4 linked regions of the Caenorhabditis elegans genome follow. The protein of the gene in region 2 interacts with the protein of the main gene of each other region in a pairwise test. Each region holds a gene or a part of one and is shown on either strand. Other genes may lie near its edges. The genes, in order: F59C12.3, T11B7.1, snt-2 and pqn-71.

Region 1 (7,705 bases), on a different chromosome or scaffold from region 2:
ATACAAGTACATCATCTAAACTGGCTAAAAATTAAAAGAACAAAACTACATACAAATTGTATTAAGAGGAATGGACTTTGGAAACTTGAATTGAAAAATAAATTGAATTATGCATGTAACAGAAAGTAACAAAGAAGGAAAGTGTGTTGTTGGTAGCGTGTTTGTAAATAATAAATAGAATTTCGATGACTAGTGCATGAGGAATATTCAAGAAAATTGGTTATCCGCAAGTATTGACTTGTTATTGTTACTATTTTTGAACATATTGTAAGGAATTGGAGCAGTCGGTACAGGGTCGAATGATGATCCAGATGATGATCTGCAACTTTTTTTGTATAGTTTGTTACTTTTGAAGATGTTTATCGAATCGTAATAGATTCTGGAGCTAGTATTTTCAGCTTGACCTATGTGTGTTTCTAGAAAGTATTCAACTGAAAATTTTATACTCAAAAACTAACTTAAAAAGGAACTTACAATTAGAGAAAAGTTCAAGATTCACTGTAGTTTTGCTTTCGTTCAGAAAACTCAAATTTTGAGTACTTTTTGCAAAGTTTCCTAGGAAGAAAAAACAACGGTCTCATAATTTTTTGTCTCACCTCCGATGAAGAGAATTTTGCATCAACGAGCCCGATGAAGTTCTTGCATGTTCTGATAGCCTGGAATATGGGAATTAAGGAAATTATATTTGATTTATTTGAGCAATTAATAAAACTGCGTCTTACCCTCCAGTCACGCCCATTCGACCTTTTTTCTTCCTTTCCTGTATTTTCTGTCTAATTTCCTCCATTCTACTCAGTGCCTCGTCTCCGCTGTCTGGAAAAAAAGAAAAGAAATGAGAAAAAAAAGGAGAGAGGAAGAAGAGTGCTCTTTTCACATGCCAAAAGAAATGCAGTCGACGCTTCCCCCTTTGCCTTTCTTTTTTCCCGACTAGGGCTTCATATACTCACTTTTATCTACCATTGCTGCATATTTGTCCCGCTCCGACCTCAGTTCGTTGATGATCAGATCCTAAAATTTATCAATTATTCATCGAATATGCCCGTTGTAATTTGTGAGCTCATTTCAAAGTGTGTTTTCTGATGTTCTCTATAATAGAAATAAAGCTCATTTCTAGTATATCAAATATCAGAAACATTTTTATTTATTCTAGGCGCGATAATTAAATATACCAATCTAAAATTACTCTCTTGAATTAAACTCCCAAAGTTATTAGGCAAAAAGATTCTCCCCGGCCGGGAATTGAACCCGGGTCTCGCATGTGACAGACGCGGATACTCACCACTATACTACCGAGGACACGAAAGAGAGCGGTTGTTGAGGCTTTTATAAACTGGGTTTATGACCGAAAATTTAGTGCTATATAGTATATGTAACAATAAATTATGTTAATATGTATAAGGGGCAACTGGGAAACTTTAAACAATTTATTGAAAACATTTTCTGTGAGAAAACACGTAACCTTGAAAAGTAACGTCTCTATTTTTGAAAAGATCCCTTATAAATGTTTTCACTTGTTTTAAATTTTGTATAAAAAATTTAGCAGCAGTTCTTGCCTCACCTTTTCATAACTCTCCTCTTTCAATTTGTCCACCTGGGTTTCAAAGTTGTCAGTTATTGTTGCAAGAGTTGACTTCCGTTGCTCAGTTTTGTCACCGTGAGTTCTAAAAAAAGCTTTTTCAATTCTGCTCTCCATTTCCGTTTTCGGCTCAGTTCTTCAACAAACGAAGAGAATAAAAGAAGAGAGAAAGAAAAAAAAACAAACTTTCGCAAATCGTTCACCATTCTTTCGAGTTGCTGAATCTTGTCGTCTTTTGATTGAATGCTCTTTCGCATTCGAATAAGATCCTCTGTGCTGCCGGGAGTAGTGGTTCGCTGCAAAATTGATGATTATGCAAATGAGTAGTGGTTAGTAATTCCATGAGTAATTCTATAGATGTTCTGGCATGTTCTATTTCAGGGCTTATGTACTACTATGTACAAAGACGGCTTAGACGGCAATATCTAGGATAAGATTGTTATAGAAGATAAACTAATAATAATAGTTTATAATTTTAATTTCCAGTAAAAAAATTATGAGATGCTAGAAAAATTTTTAATTCTCCATTTTTTAATGGTATATATTAGAAAAATGATGACGCTCTTTAGACCCTCTGCAAACGTTTTCAAATGTACTAACCTATAGGCGTCCCATCTAATTTTCAGAAAAAAAATACTGAGACCGGTGCTGATCTATATCAATAAAACTTTCATTACCGGACATTTAACCCCATAATCGGGAACCGGTTCAAATGTTGTCGCCCCCCCCCCCCCTTTTCCTAGCACACCCCACATTACTTTCATTTACTACTATTTCTCTCCCTGTTTCGAGACAAACCTTAAGACTTCCAGTGAGTGATGTGTCTTTGTTCAATTGCATTCTTAGCTGAGTCTTCTCCATTTCCCACTGAGCCCGTTCCGACTCAACCATCTGATCCCTCCGATGTTGTTCTTCCCATACTTCGTTTAGTTGCTTTCGCAGCTCATCAGCGTGTGCCACTACAGCGGACAATTCTTCGCATTTCTAGAAAAAGTGTTTCTTATTGAATTTTAATTTCAAAAAAAAGATAACGTACTATCAAGAAAACAGTTTTGATTTGGGAGCTTTAAAAAATATTTTTAATGTAAGTTAAGAAAGCAAAAAACATTTTTTAGAGAAGTCCGGAAGTGCAAGGTATATTGCAAAGTTAAATTAAAATTTGAATTTCGCAATATTTTTTGAATATGAATGCAAAAGTAATGGTACATAACTATTTGAGTGCCTTTAAAATTACCTTGAAAATAGAAAAAAAATTGATAGACAAGTTCTGAATGTTTCTAAACACAGCACGTTTTCAATTGTTGTTTGTATCACATGGAAGTTTTTTTTCATTTCTTATTTTCCCACGTCAGTTTGCAAATTTTTTTCGCGTTTCACTTTTATTCATTATTATATCAATTGGAGTGTCTCATCAAAAACAAAAAAAATGAGACAACTGTTAAAAATCTATTTCAAGTAAAAATTGATTTCCGGCTAGTGAGACAATTTTTTATTTATTTTTGGGTTGTCTCGTTATGAAGTCATGTTGATCAAAATCCTTAAAAACCGAAAAAGTGGCCAAAGGTGACCAAACCTGGCCACCAATGGGCTCTAAATGTACCATAATCAACGAAGTGAGATCATAATTCAAAAACTTCAATTTCCGACTACTGCGACACGGTAAAATATTCTAAATTAGAGATTTTAGCTAACAGTCAGGAAAAAAAAATTTTAAATTTTTGGAGAAGTTTCATTACGAATTTCGTTCATTTGAAAACATTTTTAGTCTATATGTTCAGAAATTCTCCATATTCACAAAATACCCAAACAACTGTTCACTTTTATCAAAAGTACACTGTTGTGGTCCTATACTTTTGTTCTCCCCCCATTTTCCCATAAATAAATTGGAAATGTTATCCATTCCGCTCAGCACATTCTCCCACAAATATTCCATACTTTTTCCCGCTTCGCCAATCTCTCTTGTGAATTGGCGAGTGCCTTCTCAAGCATTGCAATATGATTTCGTTGCTCCTCCAACGTCTGATTCTGTGCCTCAATCTCCATTTTTTGCCGCTCTTTGCATGCGAAGAGTTCTTGCCCTGAATCGGAAAAAAATCAATTGTATAAGTATTTTATTCGTTTTTTTTTTCATATTTCTCATTCTGCTTCTCTGTTTCCAGTTCTATTGTATCAAATTTATTTCTTTTTTTCTCCTCACTCTGCTGAATTTCGTTTAACATCAGGTTCGCCACCATCGTTGGTTCAGTACTTGCTTTTTCCAGCCGCATTTGCAAGTCGTCTCTTTCGATGGTAAGTCTGAAACTAAGATTTTTAGAAGATAATGGATTTTCCTGTTGATTGGATGTTTGTTTGATATATTGCCGCTTGTCAGTTTTTTTTTTGGATAAACTTTTTAAAATAAAAATATTGTAAAATTTCAGAAAAATATGCCCGTGTAAAACTTTGTATGAAATAAGCTTTTTTTTGCTTACTCGGCATTTGGTTCTGGCTTCTTGCCCAACTTTGTCCTACAAAATATCAACATGGATTGGCGCAACTTGGCCAAAAGTTAGGCAAGACTTCGGCAAAAATTACACCAAAGTTCAACACAAGTTTCACCCAACTCTCGCCAGACTTCTACCAAAGTTTGAAACGAAACAAGAAAAGTTTGGGCCAAAGTTTGGCAAGAGTTGGGTTTAAAGTAGGGTAAGAGTAGAGTTCGGCTTTGGTTAAACTCTGGTGCAGTCTCAATCCTTTTTCTCAAGTTTAGCCAACTTCTAAGCCAAGTTAAGATTTTTTGGGCCAAACTTGGGCAAGTTGCAAGAGCCAAATGCGAAGAGTATTTTGCCCAAGTTTGTTTAATCAAATCATTATTGTTGTGAACTTCAATGATATTAGTTGTGTTCAATGTTTGTCTAGTTTGCCCCAAACAACAAAAAAGTGCTGCTCGTGAATTTTGTGAAATAGTTTTCAATTCATTTTTAAATGGAAACTTTTTTATATTGCCTTCATTAGATATAAATATCAGAAAATTGTTGTCTCTTTTTACCGACAAGATTTTCAACCAACTTACTTTTTTACAGACTTTTCCAATTGAATAATCACGTTCAGCTCTAAATTTTCTTGCTTTTTTCGTTCATTTGCCAAGTATTCGTATTCTTTTTCCAGTCGAGCATATGAGTATTCAATCTGCAAGCATTTAGGTTTCCCACTATTTTGAAACTTCCAACAAACCTGTTGTAGTTTTGAAAGACTGCGCTTGAAAGCGTCGAGCTCTTTTTTCAAGTGCACATTCTCCTCGCGGAGAATTTGAATGAGCTTCTGGTTGCTGGATACTCCCTAAAATAATTGTTTGTTTTGCTGTTGCTTGTTGAAGTTCTTACTCTGTTAGTTTGGCTCAATGTGGGGACGTCAAGTGCTTGATCTCCAGATGCAGATGCCCTACGCTGATAGGCAGATGTGCTCATTTTTGATTCATTTGGGGGAATACTGAAATTATTAATGTTTAAAAGAAGAAGGTCAAGCTTTTTTTTGTAAAAAAAATATCTCAGGAAAAATGTTGAGTTTGTCAAAAAAGTTTGTTTGTTTTTTGAAATGCAACTTGAAAGTAGGAAGTTTTAATTTTAGATAATCGTTTAGCTAAAAACCTGTGCGGAAGTTGTTTAAAAGTTTTTCCATACGAATATAGTGATTAAATATAAAAATGAAACTCTTGTTATAATTTTTGAATTTTTTATTCACAAAAAAAAAAGAGAGAAATCTAGCAATTTTTCAGTATTCGTCACTTACTACTTATTAAATTCACCAAAATGTTTTCTACGATTTTTATAATTTTATAAAATGAAAAAAAAAATGCTACAAATTTCCTTATTTAAAAAGTGTGGCTGAAATTAATGCATAGTGGGAAACACTGTGGATAAAGTTATTGATACATTCAAAAAAAATTTTACAGTTTACCGTATAACGTTTCAAAAACATCATAAAACCAATACTTACTCTGACGATCTTGATCCACTCGCAATAAGACATGGCTGAGAATGACTGATAGGTGATGCTGAAATAATATACTATTTTCATCAATCCACCAAAAACAGAAAAAAAACAAAAAATGTCACACGCACGTCCTGCACTTCCATGTAAATCCTTCCGGCTGTTTGCTCTTTGCATGTTCATTTCAAGCTGATATTTTTCGAGCATCTTCTGCAACCGCTTCTCGTCGTCATCCTTGCTTTTTGTTTGAGCCTGGTGGTTCATCACTGAAAAATAGTTTTTCGAATTGCAGGACCCCTGGTTCGATATTGCTCACCACTCGCTTTCAGACTTGGATTCAACTGAGCCTCCTTTAGAAGTGAGTCTAAAATGTTCGTCTCTCCCTGATACATGGGTGTCGGTGGCACTGCATGCACTCGTCGCTGATCCGATGATGTGCCATCCGACGAGCGCGGATCTATCACGTCCCCTCGATTCATTCACCCTGAGATTAGTTTCGATTAAATAGTGAATCATCAAGATTGAATGTAGAACGAGAAAAAAATAGGTGAGAAAAATTAGACATTTATTTGGGTGCTAATATGGCAATCATACCTAGAAATATTTAATCAATAACGTAATTCTCACGTGGTCATTTTTCAACTAAACTACATGAAGCTAATACTAACATGAATTTTAACTTCACATCTTGAATGAATGAATATTTTGAATGCAAATACAAACGTGGTGTCAGGCCCACGGTGTCAGGCATTACGGTTTCATCTACAAAAAATGCGGGAGTTTTTCAATCGAAAAAAAATTGACGCCAGCGCGTTCTTAACCGTGCAAAATCAGTTGAGAACTCTGCGTCTGAACTCCTGCATTTTTTGTAGGTCTACGTAGATCAAACCAAAATGAGACACATTGACGCCACAAGAATACATGAAAAAATGATACAAAATTATATGTATTCTGGAAAAAAATTAAACAAAACTAAACCATGAATATTGTTGCCAGTGCAACATGTTCCCAAATTTTACGAATGATAAGAAGACACTTCGTGAGCTAATACATACAATGTAGAAACATTTTCATTAGTTTAAAATTGAATTAAATCTAATTTGATAATATACCAATACTCTAAACTGTAAGACCAAACTAAAAGTGACAATTTCTGGTATAAGTCACAAATACTCAACAACAAAAAACTAACACAAACCCGTCTCGGGCGGTCAAACGCAGTTTCGATTAAACTACACTAAAAGGTTTCAAGTGACCTGACCCGAAATGCAAGTTCCTAATTATATAATTACACGCGTTCGTGTGGAAGACCTTCTTTCCAAAATCGTTTAGTTTAGTTCTGATTATCGCGGCTTATCCGTGTTAATCTCTGACGTGGTCGAAATCCAAAATGAAGAAACTTATGTTTTTGCTGTTTTTTCCAGTTTTTTTGTTTTTGAATCATGTGTACTGAACAACAAATGGGCAGGATGAAAAGCAAAATATGATGAAGCTAGCCGAAAACATAAACAATAGAAACAAAAACTTCGAAACAAAAATATGAGGAAAGAGAATATGTTTTATATGACGAATTTTTTTAAAACTATTTTGATATTTAATGTGTAGTTTTTCGTTTAATAATTTTAGGTATGGTATGTTTTGTATCAATTTTGCACCCCATGGTATTTTTCATGGATCTTCTATGATTCCCAGCGTCTTCAAAATGCTCGTATAATTTTGTTTCTAAATGTGCACATTTTTGTTTGAATCCTACGTAAATTCCAGTTTTGTATATTGAATTTCAAATATAAACAGTCAAAAAATGGTATTGCAAGAAATACTGCAATGAAAAACACAGTAGTTCTAGGAATTACGAACAAAAATTAATTCGTCGGTTTATCATCTTGTAGAATTGGATTTTTGACTTCTGATTTTTTTAAATATTTTAGAATCTTTTTCGATTTTACTTACTTACTTAGTTTTACCTAGTTTTATTTAGTTTTATTTGGTTTTATTTTATTTTTTCTTTGATACTGAGTTTTATCGAATTTTCACATAAATTGCTTTAAGTTTCCTTGAACAAATCATTTGAAAATCATCAAAAGTATTTTAGGATCATTTTATGCGTTAGTGATTATTGATTTAATATATGGGTTATTGAATAGAAAATGCCAATTTTTT
Region 2 (4,530 bases):
ACAAAAATCAAATTGCTTTCAAAGATCTAATGAACAGAAATGTAAACTTTGGCTTGTCAAAAGTCAAAAATTTAGGGCATGTTCATCATCTTCCAGCGCCTTCGGTCAACCTAACAACATTTATGATTGTCTAAAAAATCGATAGCATGGAAAAATGACACCCTCGAGGAACATAAATAAGATAATTGTATCATTAGACGCAGAATAATCTCAAAATGATCCAGACTTTACGAACAGAATAAGAAATCTGATATACCCATCGTCTCAACAATCTTCTATCCATTCCAAGCCATGACAAATTTGAAGCGGCAACAGTGAAAAGTGGCCCACCGCTGGCTAATACGTACGGTTTTATAGCGGGCAAACTGAAGGCCGTCTTAGGTCCATTACCGGCTGTTGGACCGTCATTTGTCCACAGGTTGAGAAAGACTTTCAACCTGTTCGGGCTCGTCCGCAGCTGTTATAATTGTGACATTTTTTATACATAAGTTTGTCTTTGGTTCTTGGAAGGACTTATTGGAAGATTTTATTTCAGAAACAAGAACAGTTGGAACAGTGTAAAGTTAATCAGAATAATCAAGAAAATTTGAAAACAAAGAGAAAGTCGGATAAATGGGAAATCATGATATATCGTAGAGCGAATAACAAGAAAATCGTTGATTTGTGAATAGTTAAAATTTTTTAAAATATTAGTCATTGTAAGAAGGTACATTTAATTTCAATGAAATCTCAATTTTCTGATTCGATGCTATTCCTCTGACGAGCTGTCACCATCTGGTAAATCATCAGAAGCGCTGCTTTCAGAACTTTCATCTGATGAGCCTTCTTCCTCTTGAACTTCTTTTAAAGCTTCTAATTCTTTGAACGCATTCTTCAAATTTCCTCGAGAATTTCTGAGACGTTTTCCAAAATTTCTGACAGTCTTCGCCAAATCCTCAGAAATTTCGTTTTTCGGAATGAAATTCTTTTTCAATTCCATCATCTGCTCGTATTGATGTTCAAGCTTTAATTCTAGAGCATCCTTATCTTCAAGAGCATTTTCGTATGACCAACCAAGATTAGCGATTCTGTAATAATTTTTATGTGTTTTTAAGATCAACAAAATATAAATGTTTCGTCAAAACTTACCTTTTTTTCTGATCGTTAATTTGTCTTTGGAACCACTGAATCTCTTGATCTTTCTTATCGTGCACTTCAAGACTTTCCAAAATCAAACGACACTCCTCTTTATGCAACTGCAGCATCTTACATTCTGGTTCAAGTTTTTGATCGTCTGAAAACTTTTGAAGAATTTCAATAAGTCCCTGCAATGTTGGAGTTGGTGAACGATTCTCTGTTTTGTTTCCAGCTGTGAGCTCTCCAATTTTCGCTGTTTGATTATCAAGATAGTTTTTCAATGTATCGTTTTTTCTGAGCAGTTTCTTGTTTTCTTGAGCAGCCCTGAGCAGTCTGGAAAAAGTAATTACGAAACATAAAATGTTTGTTCTTACACTGCCAAACAGATTACTATATCTCGATGGCAGTGCATGTTATGTTTTCGGTCGACTATACAGATAAACATAGTTACCTTGATTCATAGAGCTCTTGTGTCTTCTTTATATCCATTTTAAGAATTTCAATTTCCTTAGCTTTTTTCGAATTCATTTCAAAATTTCCAACAGCTGACTGTAGTCCTTCACAAGTTAACTGAATATTTTTCAGTTTCTGATCAATACTTAGTTCTTCTTTGAATTGTTTCAACTGTTCGGTGAGCTCATCCAATGTTAGAGGATTCACATTTTTTGAATTCTCGTGATTTTGAATACTTTTCAAGTTTTGAAGTTTTTTGAATTTTTCAATTTGAACTTCAAAATCATTTTGCAAGTCAGCATAGTTGTCTTGCAAATTGGAACATTCATTCTCGAGTGTATAGATTTTTACAGAAAGTGCCTGTCTCATATCATCATACTTAAGCTTCTGACGGCTGAGTGTTGAATCTAACTTCTGGATTCTGAAACAAGTTTAATCTTACAAAAATTACGAAAAAACAGTATACTTACGTTTCCAAATGTTCATCCTGTTTTTCATTGAACTTTTTTTCCAAATCCTTGTAGTTTTTATCTTTTAATTGAATACTTTCAAGCTGTTCTTTAATCATTTGCAAATGAGGAATGGAAAAATTAATAGTTTTACTTTGTTTCTCAACTTGGACATAGCTTATGGTATCATGAAGAATATCAATTATTCCTTGAACTGTAGGCTTAGACGCTGAAATTTAATATACATTCACGAGGAAAAGTATTCAGAGGACTGCGTGACTATCGATGTTTCAGATTTTCAGACGGGATACATAAAACGCAAGTAGAAAAACCCGCATGACGTCACACTTTTTCTTTCATTCTCCGTAATTTTCCAGGAACAAATTGCGAATGGAACCTATCATACACGCGTGCGCGAGGCGATGTGACAGCTTCGATTAATTATACAAAAAAAAACGTCAGAAATAATATCATTCCTGTTATGAAACACTGTGATTTCAAAAATGTTTACCTTCCAATTGTCTTGTTTGCGGTGCTTGACTTTCTCCTTTTGAAACACTTGGTTTGATTCCTGACATTACTCTCTGAAAATCCAAAATCCTTGCACTAAAACAGATTTAAAAAAAAGAAGTTAAATGAAACCGTATTCATATCTTATAATATCATAACTACAATCATTTCCATACAATTCGTGCATTATAAACAAGAAAACAAATGAAAACCCTTCAAAAAACTCGATTAGCTACCGATATCAAGGCACTTTGGATGTAAAAAATAATAAATTAATCAGTCATCTCTTGACGATGACGTATGGGCAAGTCATCTGGATGAAAACTATAAAACAGAACGCTCATGTATATTATCGACTCGAAAAGAAGGTTTCCAAAAATTATCGATTCAATTTAGGTTTAGCAGATCTACGAATATACATTAAAAAATACTTGAGGAAAAGTTACTTAATTAGGGATCCTACAGAACTGACAGACCTAGAATAAAAGTAAAAAAGATTAAAAACGAGAAGAGGGAGGGAGAAAACACCGAATGCAAATGAATGGTATGTTGGAGATTTGTAGTGTTGGAAGAAACAGTGAACCACACTCTCCACGGGCAACGTACAGGGGTCATCTCATCTATTTGTTACGACGTCGAAGAGGCTCGCCACTCTGTAAGTAATATTGATTACTTGGTTTTGTGTATCGCATCCGATATCGGCCGAATGTACAATGAGATTTTTTTTCGAAATACCACTATTTTAGATGTCGCCATAAAAAATGTTTGAAGGTAACATAGATAACATTTTCAGAAGAATTTAAGTTTGAAAACGTGATCAATTAGGTTTTGGGCATCTGGAAATCATATGAAAAGCTAAATTTATACCTGTCGTACGACGACATCAAACGCTGATCCAGTTGATTGTAGTGGTACTGCCACGGATTCTGGCACAAACGAAGACGCGGTTGAGATTCGTGACGACGTTGACATTCTGGATGATGGGCGGGATGAGAGAGCTGGTACATTCGATGACATTGGCACTCGTGGAGAAGTTCGACGAGCCGCCGCTGAGAAGGTTTTTAGTTTCAAGTGAAGTTCTTCAATTGTCTTGGTCTGCTCGGCAATTTGATGACGATACTCCGCGATAAGACCTTCACGATCAGAAATCGTCAGATTTTGAACTCGCATATCCTGTTGAGCATTTGCAAGTTGTTGTCTGAAATAATATTAATATAAATCTATATTTAATTTTCTGATTGTGTGTTACTTTATTTTTTCGATTTTCACATGTCCGGAACATGCTATCAAATACTTTAGTTTAAAATAAAATTTCGTTCTATACACCAATTCATTTAAACGTTAAAAAGATTTAACTCACCTCAGCTTGACTAGCTCGACGTTTGATGTCTTCTGCTGTTGATCTTCTTCAGCAGGATTCTGAAGTTGTGCTTCCAGTTCTGCAATTTTTGCTGTCAGAACTTCGCATTTCTCACGATACTTGTCCATTTGAACGGCGAACTCGTCAGCGTGATCCAATAATCGAGCTTCCGAATCCTTAAGCAATCCATTCTGCTCCGAAACAATGCGAAGTTCTTCTTTTAACTGTTCCAACTCTTCCAGAGACTTCAGATCAGCCGATTCGGATGCCTCGATAAGCTGTTGCCGTAGATTAGAGACAAGATTTTGAAGTTTCACAATAGTATCATTCCTATTTGAAATCTCGATTTCCAATGCCTTCTTTACTTCTTCAATTTCATTTTCATTTTTGTTCCACGCATCATCATCATTCCATCCTGAAGCCGAATTTTCAGCCTCGACTAGCTTCTGTTTGGTATCTTCCAGTTCTGATTGAACGTCATACAACTTTGATTGGAGAGCAGAAATTGTTTCGGTTAACTGAAAACACAACAAGTTACAGTAATATAGATATTATGATTCATGAAATTTTTCTACAGTACCCGTTCACACGTTTTTCGCTCACCTCAATCTCATTATCTTTCAGTCTCTGTAGCTCATCTTG
Region 3 (4,596 bases), on a different chromosome or scaffold from region 2:
TTTGGCGTTTGAGGAAGTTCTTCATGTTTCAATGTACCGGAAGACATTGACGATACTGTTGTGAGCTGGCTTATTCACTGGATTTAATCCCGACAGGAAGACAAGTTGAAGTGGCCGACCGGCTATCCAATCACCTGCTTCTACTGGATCCATCTGCTACAATTGAACGGTTTCTACTATCCCTTCCCCAATAAAAAAGTAGTCCTCCTCCAGATTTGAACCGTTTGTTTTATTATTCACATAAAATTATAACATAGACATTATGCCAACAATTTATTGATTGAAGACATGAAGTTAACAATAACAAGATTTGACGAGGCGGTTGCAGACGTGGACGCTGGTTGCTCAATCAAGCTGAAAAAAAAATAAGTTGACAGATAATAAAATACTTATTTATTTTAAAGTATATTTGCAGTAAGTTCAGGTTTGTTTGCTGATCTTGAACAGGAACTCTAAAAGCTGATGTACCTGTCTTCGAGACATCAATTCTATCTTGCAGACTAAACTAAACGTCGAAAAGCACAGGCATTCGCGTAATGGACATCTGCTCATCCTACTTGAACTTTTAAATATTATTTTAGTTGGATAAGGTTCCTTTTTTGCATAATCTAGTTAAATTTACCTTCTTGAATCCGATGTCTCTGGCTTGCTCGCGGAAGCATCTACGGCAGAGATCGAGGCCGTACTTGCGGATAAGTCCGTGGTGTCCAGCGCAGACGCGGCTGAAAAATTCAGATAAATGTATTTGAAATACACCAAGTTCAGGTTTGTTTGCTGATCTTGAACATGAGCATCAAAATATGAAGCACATGTCTTCGAGACATCAATTTTATTTCGCAAATTTAACTAAACGTCAAAAGGTAAAGAGCCTTTTCGTAATGGACATCTGCATTCGAAATTTTTGATGAAAATAATACTTACCAGGAGCGGGATCCTGGTCCGAACTTGCGTGGGTGAGAGAACCACAAATTTTGGAAACCCATTGTCGAGAGCTGAAATGGAAACAAAATTAACATCTCAGAATGCAAAATGTTTCGAAAAAGCTGTAAACGGAGGAAAAAAGCGGAAAACAAGAAGACGGTGAGAAAAAAAGCGAAATGCGTCAAAAAATCGATAATTAAAGCAACAACAGCATTTTCCGTAAAATTTCGTTATTTTTCGAAATCTTTCCAGAAGAACTAGTTACAAAACTTCTAATTTAATTCTGCTACTTATAATTACGGAAACAATCGTTTTCCTTGCAAAAATATGGAAAATAGATCGAAAAACTTGATTTTCGGCCAAGAGGCAGAAAATACGGGCGATTTTAGCAAAATGTTGACGTTTTTGGTGAGAAAATGCACGAAATTTTGATTTCCAACAAAAAATTCATTTATTTTCGAATTTTTAACAACAAAAAACACAAAAATCCATCGAAAAATAGGCCAAAAGGAAGAAAAACGCAATTTTTGCAGAACACTCCGCCACTCGGGTACGGTCACACTCGTTTCACGTGTGTCAAAGTCGCGGCGAGACCCACACCAAGACTGCTCCGCCTCCTTCGGGTCGTTTAGGAGGGAGGAGCCGCGCTTTTGAATGGAAAAACGACAGGAAAGAACATTTTTGTGCTCCAAAATTTTTTCAGACAAAAAAATTCGAAAAATCTGAAATTTAATTATATTATTCACGATTTTCGTACTATGTAGCGAGAAAACACCCTAGAAACTCACTATTTTAACTATTTTTCCCCGTTTTTTTATTTCACTGATAACATTTTCTCACTGATACCGCCACAATCAATTATTCAACCATGTGGGCGACCGGAGCAATCGTCTGCTCGCCAGTATTCCGGATTTTGTCGACGTGTTGTCCGATTCGTCGTGGCGTGCCAACGTCGAATGGGGTGAGTGGCTATTCTGATTTTCTTAAAGAGCTAAAAGCTGACAAAACTTCGTTTTTAGTTCGAAAAATTCCTAATAAAAATTTAACGAAAAAAAATTAAAAAACACTACCCGGAGTTTAACCAAAAAGTTTTCACACCAAACTGTGCACACTACTCATTGCGCCAACTGAACACGAAATTTCAAAACATTTTTGGTAAAAATATCGAAAAGTAGATCATTCGATTCTAACAAGAGAGAACAGAAAAAACGTGGACAAAAAAGCGAATTAACTCGGTTCTTCTACTCTTTTTTACTGCCGGGTCGTTAAACATTGGCCACTCGTACGAGTTGTGAGTGTTGCGGCACAAAAATGGAGAAAAAAAGCTCATCAAAAATTCATTTGTTGTCATTTTCCCATTGATGACGTGGAAAATTAAATTATTCGTTACTTTTTTTGGAGATGCGGATCTAATTGACTTAAAATAGTAAAAAAAAAGAACCGAAAATAGAGTTATTTCATCGAAAATAAGCACATTCAAGCATATATATATTCGCACTGCCTCGTGGCTACAAGCCAGGGGTGGGCGGCAATTGCCGTTCCCCAAATGGCAAATTGCCGGAAATTTTCGATTCCGGCAAATTGCCGGTTTTCCTATTTCTCGCAAATTTTCAATTCCGGCAAAGTGCCGATTTGCCGGAAAAAATCGTTTGCCGCCCACCCCTGGTAGAAACCATTTAAATTTTAAATTTTCAAAAAAATTTAGTCAAAATTTTTTTTTCACTGGTTTATCAAAACATTTTTTAAAATTTAAAATTTAAAGTGAAGAAATCCCAATATGATAATATATGTATGCGCCTTTAAAATTACTGTAGCTTTAATTTTTTAAAATTGGATTTCGCGTGGCGAGACCCATTGCGCCTTCCTGAAAGTGCCACAAAGCACGTTTCATTGTAATTTTGACTGAATCCGGGTGGACTTTTCGATTCTCGTTACTTTTTAACGAATTTTACAAACACGTATTAAGGAATTTTATAAAAACCACTTGGTTTTAATTTTTTCTGTACGTCTCTATTTTTGAAAAGATCTTATTGAAACCAACAAACCGACCTTTTTTTAAAAGATTTCTTAATTTTCTCTGAAAAAAAACACCGTTGAATCCTAATTTTCGCCACTAACGTATTCAAAGAGTTTTCGGCCAAATGTCTAGTAAATGATGTGGCTGCTCTAAGCTCGAGCTTAACAATTCTAGAGTATTTTTCCACGAAAATAAGCTGCTGAAATCCGTCATCTTTGCTTCGTCTTCCCCATTCGCCTGAAAAAAAAACAAGTTTGTGTTCCTCCAAGAAGCTTCTGCTTTCCGAGCCCCCTTCGCCAAAATACAAACGACATCGGAAACAATTCATAAAATACAACATGTCTTTTCTACTTCCCATAACATCTTCTTTTCTGTCTTTTTTTTTCTTCAACATGACACGCCAACGACCGAGCCGATGATGTGCTCTTCGAGAGCCTTCCCCGAAACGTATTCGGGGGAAAAGGATAGGCAACCTTGGAAGGGCGCCGAAAAAATGGAGAAGAAGAGGAAATTTGAAATTCCGAACAAAAAATTCCCCCTATTTTTCGCATCGCCGACGATCTAACCAAAGGGGCATCACACAATAAAGTGCGGGAATAGAAAAAGCACTTTCTGATGTCTGATGACACGGGGTTCTGGCCTTCCTCGTTGCATTTTTCGCGCTCCATTGACAATCGCCTGCCGGGCAACGCATGGGAAAGCCGTGTACTCCACACGCAAAAATACATTTAGGTTTAAAACTAAAACCGAGCCGCGACGCGACACGCAACACGCCGTAAGTCTACCCAGGACTTGGCCGAGCCAAAATGGCCTAGTTCGGCAAACTCTTACATTTCAATTTATGAAGGAAGTCAGAACCGCGTGTCTGGAGTTCTCCGGCATTTCAGATTTTCGGAACTTGGCAATTACCGACAATATCGAGTTGCCGTGAAGTTGTGGAAGTTTTACTCAAGTTTAAATATGAGGTTTAATAAATTCCACCTTCTAAATTCTCCAGAAGAGCCAAAACTTGTGAAGTCTAAGACATATAGTATTCAGATTGCCAGAGCCCTTAATCAGACCCACCGAAAAAAAATTAGCCTTTTTTGACAAAAATATGAGATTCTAGCTACTAGGCCCTTCTGGCAAGCCCTACCCTCAGCCCTACGTTGCTACTAATATTGAACATTCGGTTTTTCCGCTACTTGCGTTGTTTTTGCGCTGTCTTATCAGAATTATCCAAAACTAGCGATCTCATTAATTTTTTGTCGAGTTTTGCTTTTTTCCTAATATTGGAATGAGAAAACGACACGAAGCCAACAATTTTTCCAATCTTTTTCTTTTTTTTCCACAACCACAACCAACTTCACTAATTCCACCTGCAAGGGGGGTTTTCCGCAAAAAAACGTCATTTTTCCGGGGAACTTTTTTTCGACAATTCCAGGTATTTAAGATAACTTTTCTTGTCGGATGCAGACAAGAACTGTGTGCCGTCAAATCCTTACTAATCCAAATATGTGCAACTCAGCATCTTTTGATCACCTTTAACATAATGATAGAATATGGATAATCCGCTCAATTTTCGGCAGTGAAAAAGATGAAGAAGATGAATCTAATCCATTGAGGCAAAAATATGAAGAGCCGGGGAGCTTGAATATTAGATAAATTAGATATTGATA
Region 4 (3,737 bases), on a different chromosome or scaffold from region 2:
TTCCTACCTAAAAATATACATTTCAAAATTCAAAAAAATTACTAATAAACTTTCCCCTTCTTTTCATTGAAAAGTGCGAAAAAAGTTGGACATCTATTTATATATATGTAGCGATATGCATTTGAAGGGGTAACTTTTTGTCTCTTTTTCTCAATGCACTTTTCACCTCTTCTTGCTCTCACTCAACTACTACGTAGTAGCAGAACAAACAACAGGGACCAAGTGGGTCGAGTTTTCGATTTTTCCTTGATTCTGAAAACAAAAATTCGAAAAATACTAATCAATTATAAATTTTAAAACATTTTCGGTCATCTTCTATAAAATCTTATCAACATAATTTCAATACAACAATAGTTTTCTTAATATTTCTAATTGTTTTTCCGGGTCTCGAAATGATTATTCCTGAAAAACAGAGCTCGAAACTACAGTACTCTTTAAAGGTACATCCACCTTTTTTCCATTCAACAAAAAATGTTGTGTGAATACCAGGTACCAAATTTATTAGCTTCAGCACTTTTGAAAGGACCCATTTAACAAAAAAACTGGTAGTGAGAAACATTTATTCATCATTTCCTAGATTTACAGAAATACAATCTTCAAGAATTTTACTTCTTCAAACAACACTGCCCGGAGACATTTCCGCACGGCGAATAGTTTTGTTGACATCCGCACTGACTATTTTGCATTGGTTGACATGCCATTTGGGCCGGCTGATTACAGGATTGATTGCAGGATGTCGAGCAAGCTGGAGCACACTGTTGGGAGGCCGTGGTTCTAGTTTGGCACTGCTGTTGGCATTGTTGCTGGCACTGGGGAACACATTGGGAGGTCTGTGGGGAGGCTTGCACGTAGATGGTTATGGTTTGAGTGTTGCTGTTCTGGCAGGAGTTCTGACACTGCTGGCAGTTGGTGGAAGTTTGTTGAGAGCATTGTGGAGCACATTGTTGTTGGCATTGAGTTTGTTGGTAAGGGTTGTAGTAGTTTTGGTTTTGGTACTGGTTCTGGTTGTACTGATTTTGGATCTGGTTTGGATTTTGGTACTGATTTTGGTTCTGGTACTGATTTCCTTGCTGATTGTACCCTCCATACTGCATTTGATTATACGGATCCTGATTATTGTACATCATATTTCCTGTGGACCCACATTCCTGCTGGCACTGCTGCTGACAAATTGGCTGGCACTGTTGCGCGGTCTGCTGTTGAGTACACTGCTGCATGCATCGGTTCTCACACTCTGGAAGACAACTTTGCGACGCTGGAATTGGTGTGGAAGTCATCGGATTGCAAGACGATGTCTGGCAGGATTGCTGACACGTTGGCTGGCATTGAGTGTTGGTGTTAGATTGGCACTGTTGACTGCAGGACTGTTGACAAGCAGGCATGCATTGAGACGTCTGCAATTGATATTGCTGGCTGCTGGCGCAAGAGCATGGAGTTGAAGGTTGGCAGGAGCAGCTGTATTGTTGTGAGGCCTGCTGGCAGGAGCAGGTCGGCTGAACCGATTGAGCACATCCGCAGGAGGCTTGACGGGTTTCGCGGATTGAGGAGGCCTGAAATCAAATTGAGTTGAGAAACACGTCGTTAATTGGAATGCTTCTATCAATTTTAAACGTCACTACGAGATTTTTATCGGCCCACATTAAAACAGGGTCGGTCTACTTCCATATACGGGAATACAGATATTACTCTAAAAAAGGAGATTTTTCAGTTAATGATGTCGAAAATTGAAATTCGAAGAGGTTCAAAAACAGTCGTTAAAGCGCCAATTCACATTTCAAGTAGTTTTGTTAACACGAAATTGCGAAAAGAAAATACAATTATTAGGCTTTCTCTCAGCACTTAGAAATTATAAATTTTCAAATTCCTTACAATTAGTTTAAAATTGAAAAACTAACCTGAGCCACAGCCAAAGCAACTGCAAACAATATAATCACACAACGCATCGCTCAATGGGATTCTGTGAGTATACCCCGTGTAATTCTTGCCACTTTTATACTTTTTCATGTTGTTTACCAACCTACACTTTTGTTTCTAGTTAGACACGTTTTTTTTTCTTGAAAATCCTAATCAAAAGTTTACAATGTTTGCATTTTTCATTGACCCGATAAATCAACTTATCTTTTGTTTGTTTGTTGAGCATGATGGAGGAAAACTGGTTCTTAATCAGAGTTATTCATGTTTGTTCAGTTATTTTTGAAATAAATATATAAGTTTGAAGTAAAACAGAATTAAATTCTCAATTTATTATTCATTCCCCATAATCGTTTATTTGCATTACACTCTCCTCTGGCCAGCGCTATCTCTGTTCCTCTCAATTGTGTATACCTCCGTGAAGCATGTCTCTCGTGGCCGAATGGTCTAGTGGTATGATTCTCGCTTTGGGTGCGAGAGGTCCCGGGTTCAATCCCCGGTTCGGCCCATTCCTTTTGAAAAAAATTGAGAAAGAAACAATTTTTCAACAATGAAAAAAAAAACAAAAAAATCAAGCCACCTAGGGGACTCGAACCCCTGACCTTAAGATTAAAAGTCTCACGCTCTACCAACTGAGCTAAGGAGGCCACGGCGGCGGTGTTAGAATTGGTCTTTAGAAAACGGAATCGGGAGAGAATCGAGAGGCGCGCCTGGTGGTCAACTAGTACATCTAGTTGGCATGGAAAATTTTAATGTTTTCAAACATAAATATGTATTAATTGAACAAATATTTGTGAAAAATTTTGCATAAAAAATTGCTGTATAAGGTGTTACAACGGCTTTAAAGTTTAGTTTTCAATTATTTTTAATTGAAAATTTGACGCAAAAATGTTTAATTTCATCTTTCTAGTGTAAAGTTTATATTCAGTAATTTTTTTTCTCGATAACATAACTGAACTGTGTTGTTTCAAATAAAATATCTTCTATTCAGCAGATTTTCAAAACCGAAAAAAAATCCAGAATTTCAACACATCGATGACCAATTTAGTCTCATTTCCTGCCGTCACTTTCCCTCATTCCCGATTTTCTCAGTTTTCATTTCTGTTTCCCCTCCTTAAAAAGCGTCTATTCAAAAGGGATTTCCGTCGATCATAACCAGACGATATCGCTTAAATCGATCTAATAATGTTGGAATGTCCATTCTCCCCCCTCACCCGTTTCCTCACTTCTTTGCCTCCCTGTTGTTCTTGTTTTCTCCCGTATTGTTTTCCTAAATCTCGGACAAAAACTAGAGGCCTAAAACGTGGGCCTGATGAGGCCCTTACTCTCATGTTTCCCCGTGATTTTCGCGGTTTTTGGGCCGATTATTGCGGTTAAGCCCGTATGGAAGACGCCCGTCTCTGAGCCGAATCCAAATGCGAATCTCGAAGTTTTAAAGGGACACTCGAATTTGGCGAAGGTGAGTTTTTTTTTCAGAAATTGTTTTTGTAAATTCTGGTTTCTCTCGTGAAATAGTAGCATTCGTAAAACTTTAATTGAAAAATAAAACGCTCCAGCTGAGGCTCGTGTGTTGAACTAAACATTTTTGGTATATTGAATTTTAAAACAGGGGGACTAACTATAAGATTTAAAGGGATACCGAGAAATCCAGTTTTTTTTAATTTTAAAAGTATTTTAATTCAAACAACTTGGAACAGCTGCTCATGCCTTACTGGTCACACATTTTCACTCAAAAAACAGTAATTGTGGTTAAAACTCTTAAGAGCAGTGACGTCATAAATTGTCTTACACGGAAGGTGTCAAAATTTAAAAACTTTTGAAGCTTT

What was found.
Region 1: the proteins of T11B7.1 (region 2) and F59C12.3 interact in a two-hybrid assay, tested with the Caenorhabditis elegans proteins (one large-scale study listed by BioGRID).
Region 3: the proteins of T11B7.1 (region 2) and snt-2 interact in a two-hybrid assay, tested with the Caenorhabditis elegans proteins (one large-scale study listed by BioGRID).
Region 4: the proteins of T11B7.1 (region 2) and pqn-71 interact in a two-hybrid assay, tested with the Caenorhabditis elegans proteins (one large-scale study listed by BioGRID).

The regions. Positions count from the first base shown.
Region 1 is NC_003284.9:16,603,496-16,611,200, forward strand, and holds the start of F59C12.3 (Angiomotin_C domain-containing protein), read right to left. Parts: upstream 6,030-7,705; 5' UTR 6,025-6,029; coding exon 5,862-6,024; intron 5,812-5,861; coding exon 5,677-5,811; intron 5,610-5,676; coding exon 5,552-5,609; intron 5,382-5,551; exon of another isoform or gene 5,157-5,381; intron 5,045-5,156; coding exon 4,939-5,044; intron 4,895-4,938; coding exon 4,790-4,894; intron 4,745-4,789; coding exon 4,629-4,744; intron 3,872-4,628; coding exon 3,774-3,871; intron 3,655-3,773; coding exon 3,512-3,654; intron 2,561-3,511; coding exon 2,375-2,560; intron 1,873-2,374; coding exon 1,763-1,872; intron 1,662-1,762; coding exon 1,559-1,661; intron 1,308-1,558; exon of another isoform or gene 1,215-1,307; intron 1,009-1,214; coding exon 948-1,008; intron 814-947; coding exon 723-813; intron 657-722; coding exon 597-656; intron 320-596; coding exon 208-319; 3' UTR 1-207.
Region 2 is NC_003282.8:8,838,791-8,843,320, reverse strand, and holds T11B7.1 (Centrosomal protein of 162 kDa), read right to left. Parts: upstream 2,605-4,530; 5' UTR 2,597-2,604; coding exon 2,530-2,596; intron 2,248-2,529; coding exon 2,040-2,247; intron 1,991-2,039; coding exon 1,568-1,990; intron 1,450-1,567; coding exon 1,129-1,449; intron 1,068-1,128; coding exon 749-1,067; 3' UTR 516-748; downstream 1-515. Other genes in the region: T28C6.11 (uncharacterized protein), read left to right, coding at 3,060-3,183, 3,438-3,658; T28C6.7 (Kinesin motor domain-containing protein), read right to left, coding at 3,149-3,181, 3,396-3,726, 3,889-4,406, 4,492-4,530.
Region 3 is NC_003281.10:790,696-795,291, reverse strand, and holds the start of snt-2 (Synaptotagmin 2), read left to right. Parts: upstream 1-1,558; 5' UTR 1,559-1,789; coding exon 1,790-1,882; intron 1,883-4,596. Other genes in the region: trpp-11 (Trafficking protein particle complex subunit 11 domain-containing protein), read right to left, coding at 38-153; rps-29 (Small ribosomal subunit protein uS14), read right to left, coding at 346-354, 623-722, 922-983. UniProt on the Caenorhabditis elegans protein: Ca(2+) sensor involved in Ca(2+)-dependent secretion of the nlp-40 neuropeptide from intestinal cells. Involved in the defecation motor program, which is a coordinated series of three muscle contractions that occurs every 45 seconds.
Region 4 is NC_003283.11:15,463,907-15,467,643, reverse strand, and holds pqn-71 (Prion-like-(Q/N-rich)-domain-bearing protein), read right to left. Parts: upstream 1,968-3,737; 5' UTR 1,944-1,967; coding exon 1,896-1,943; intron 1,551-1,895; coding exon 606-1,550; 3' UTR 544-605; downstream 1-543. Other genes in the region: rocf-1 (ZP domain-containing protein), read left to right, coding at 3,224-3,370.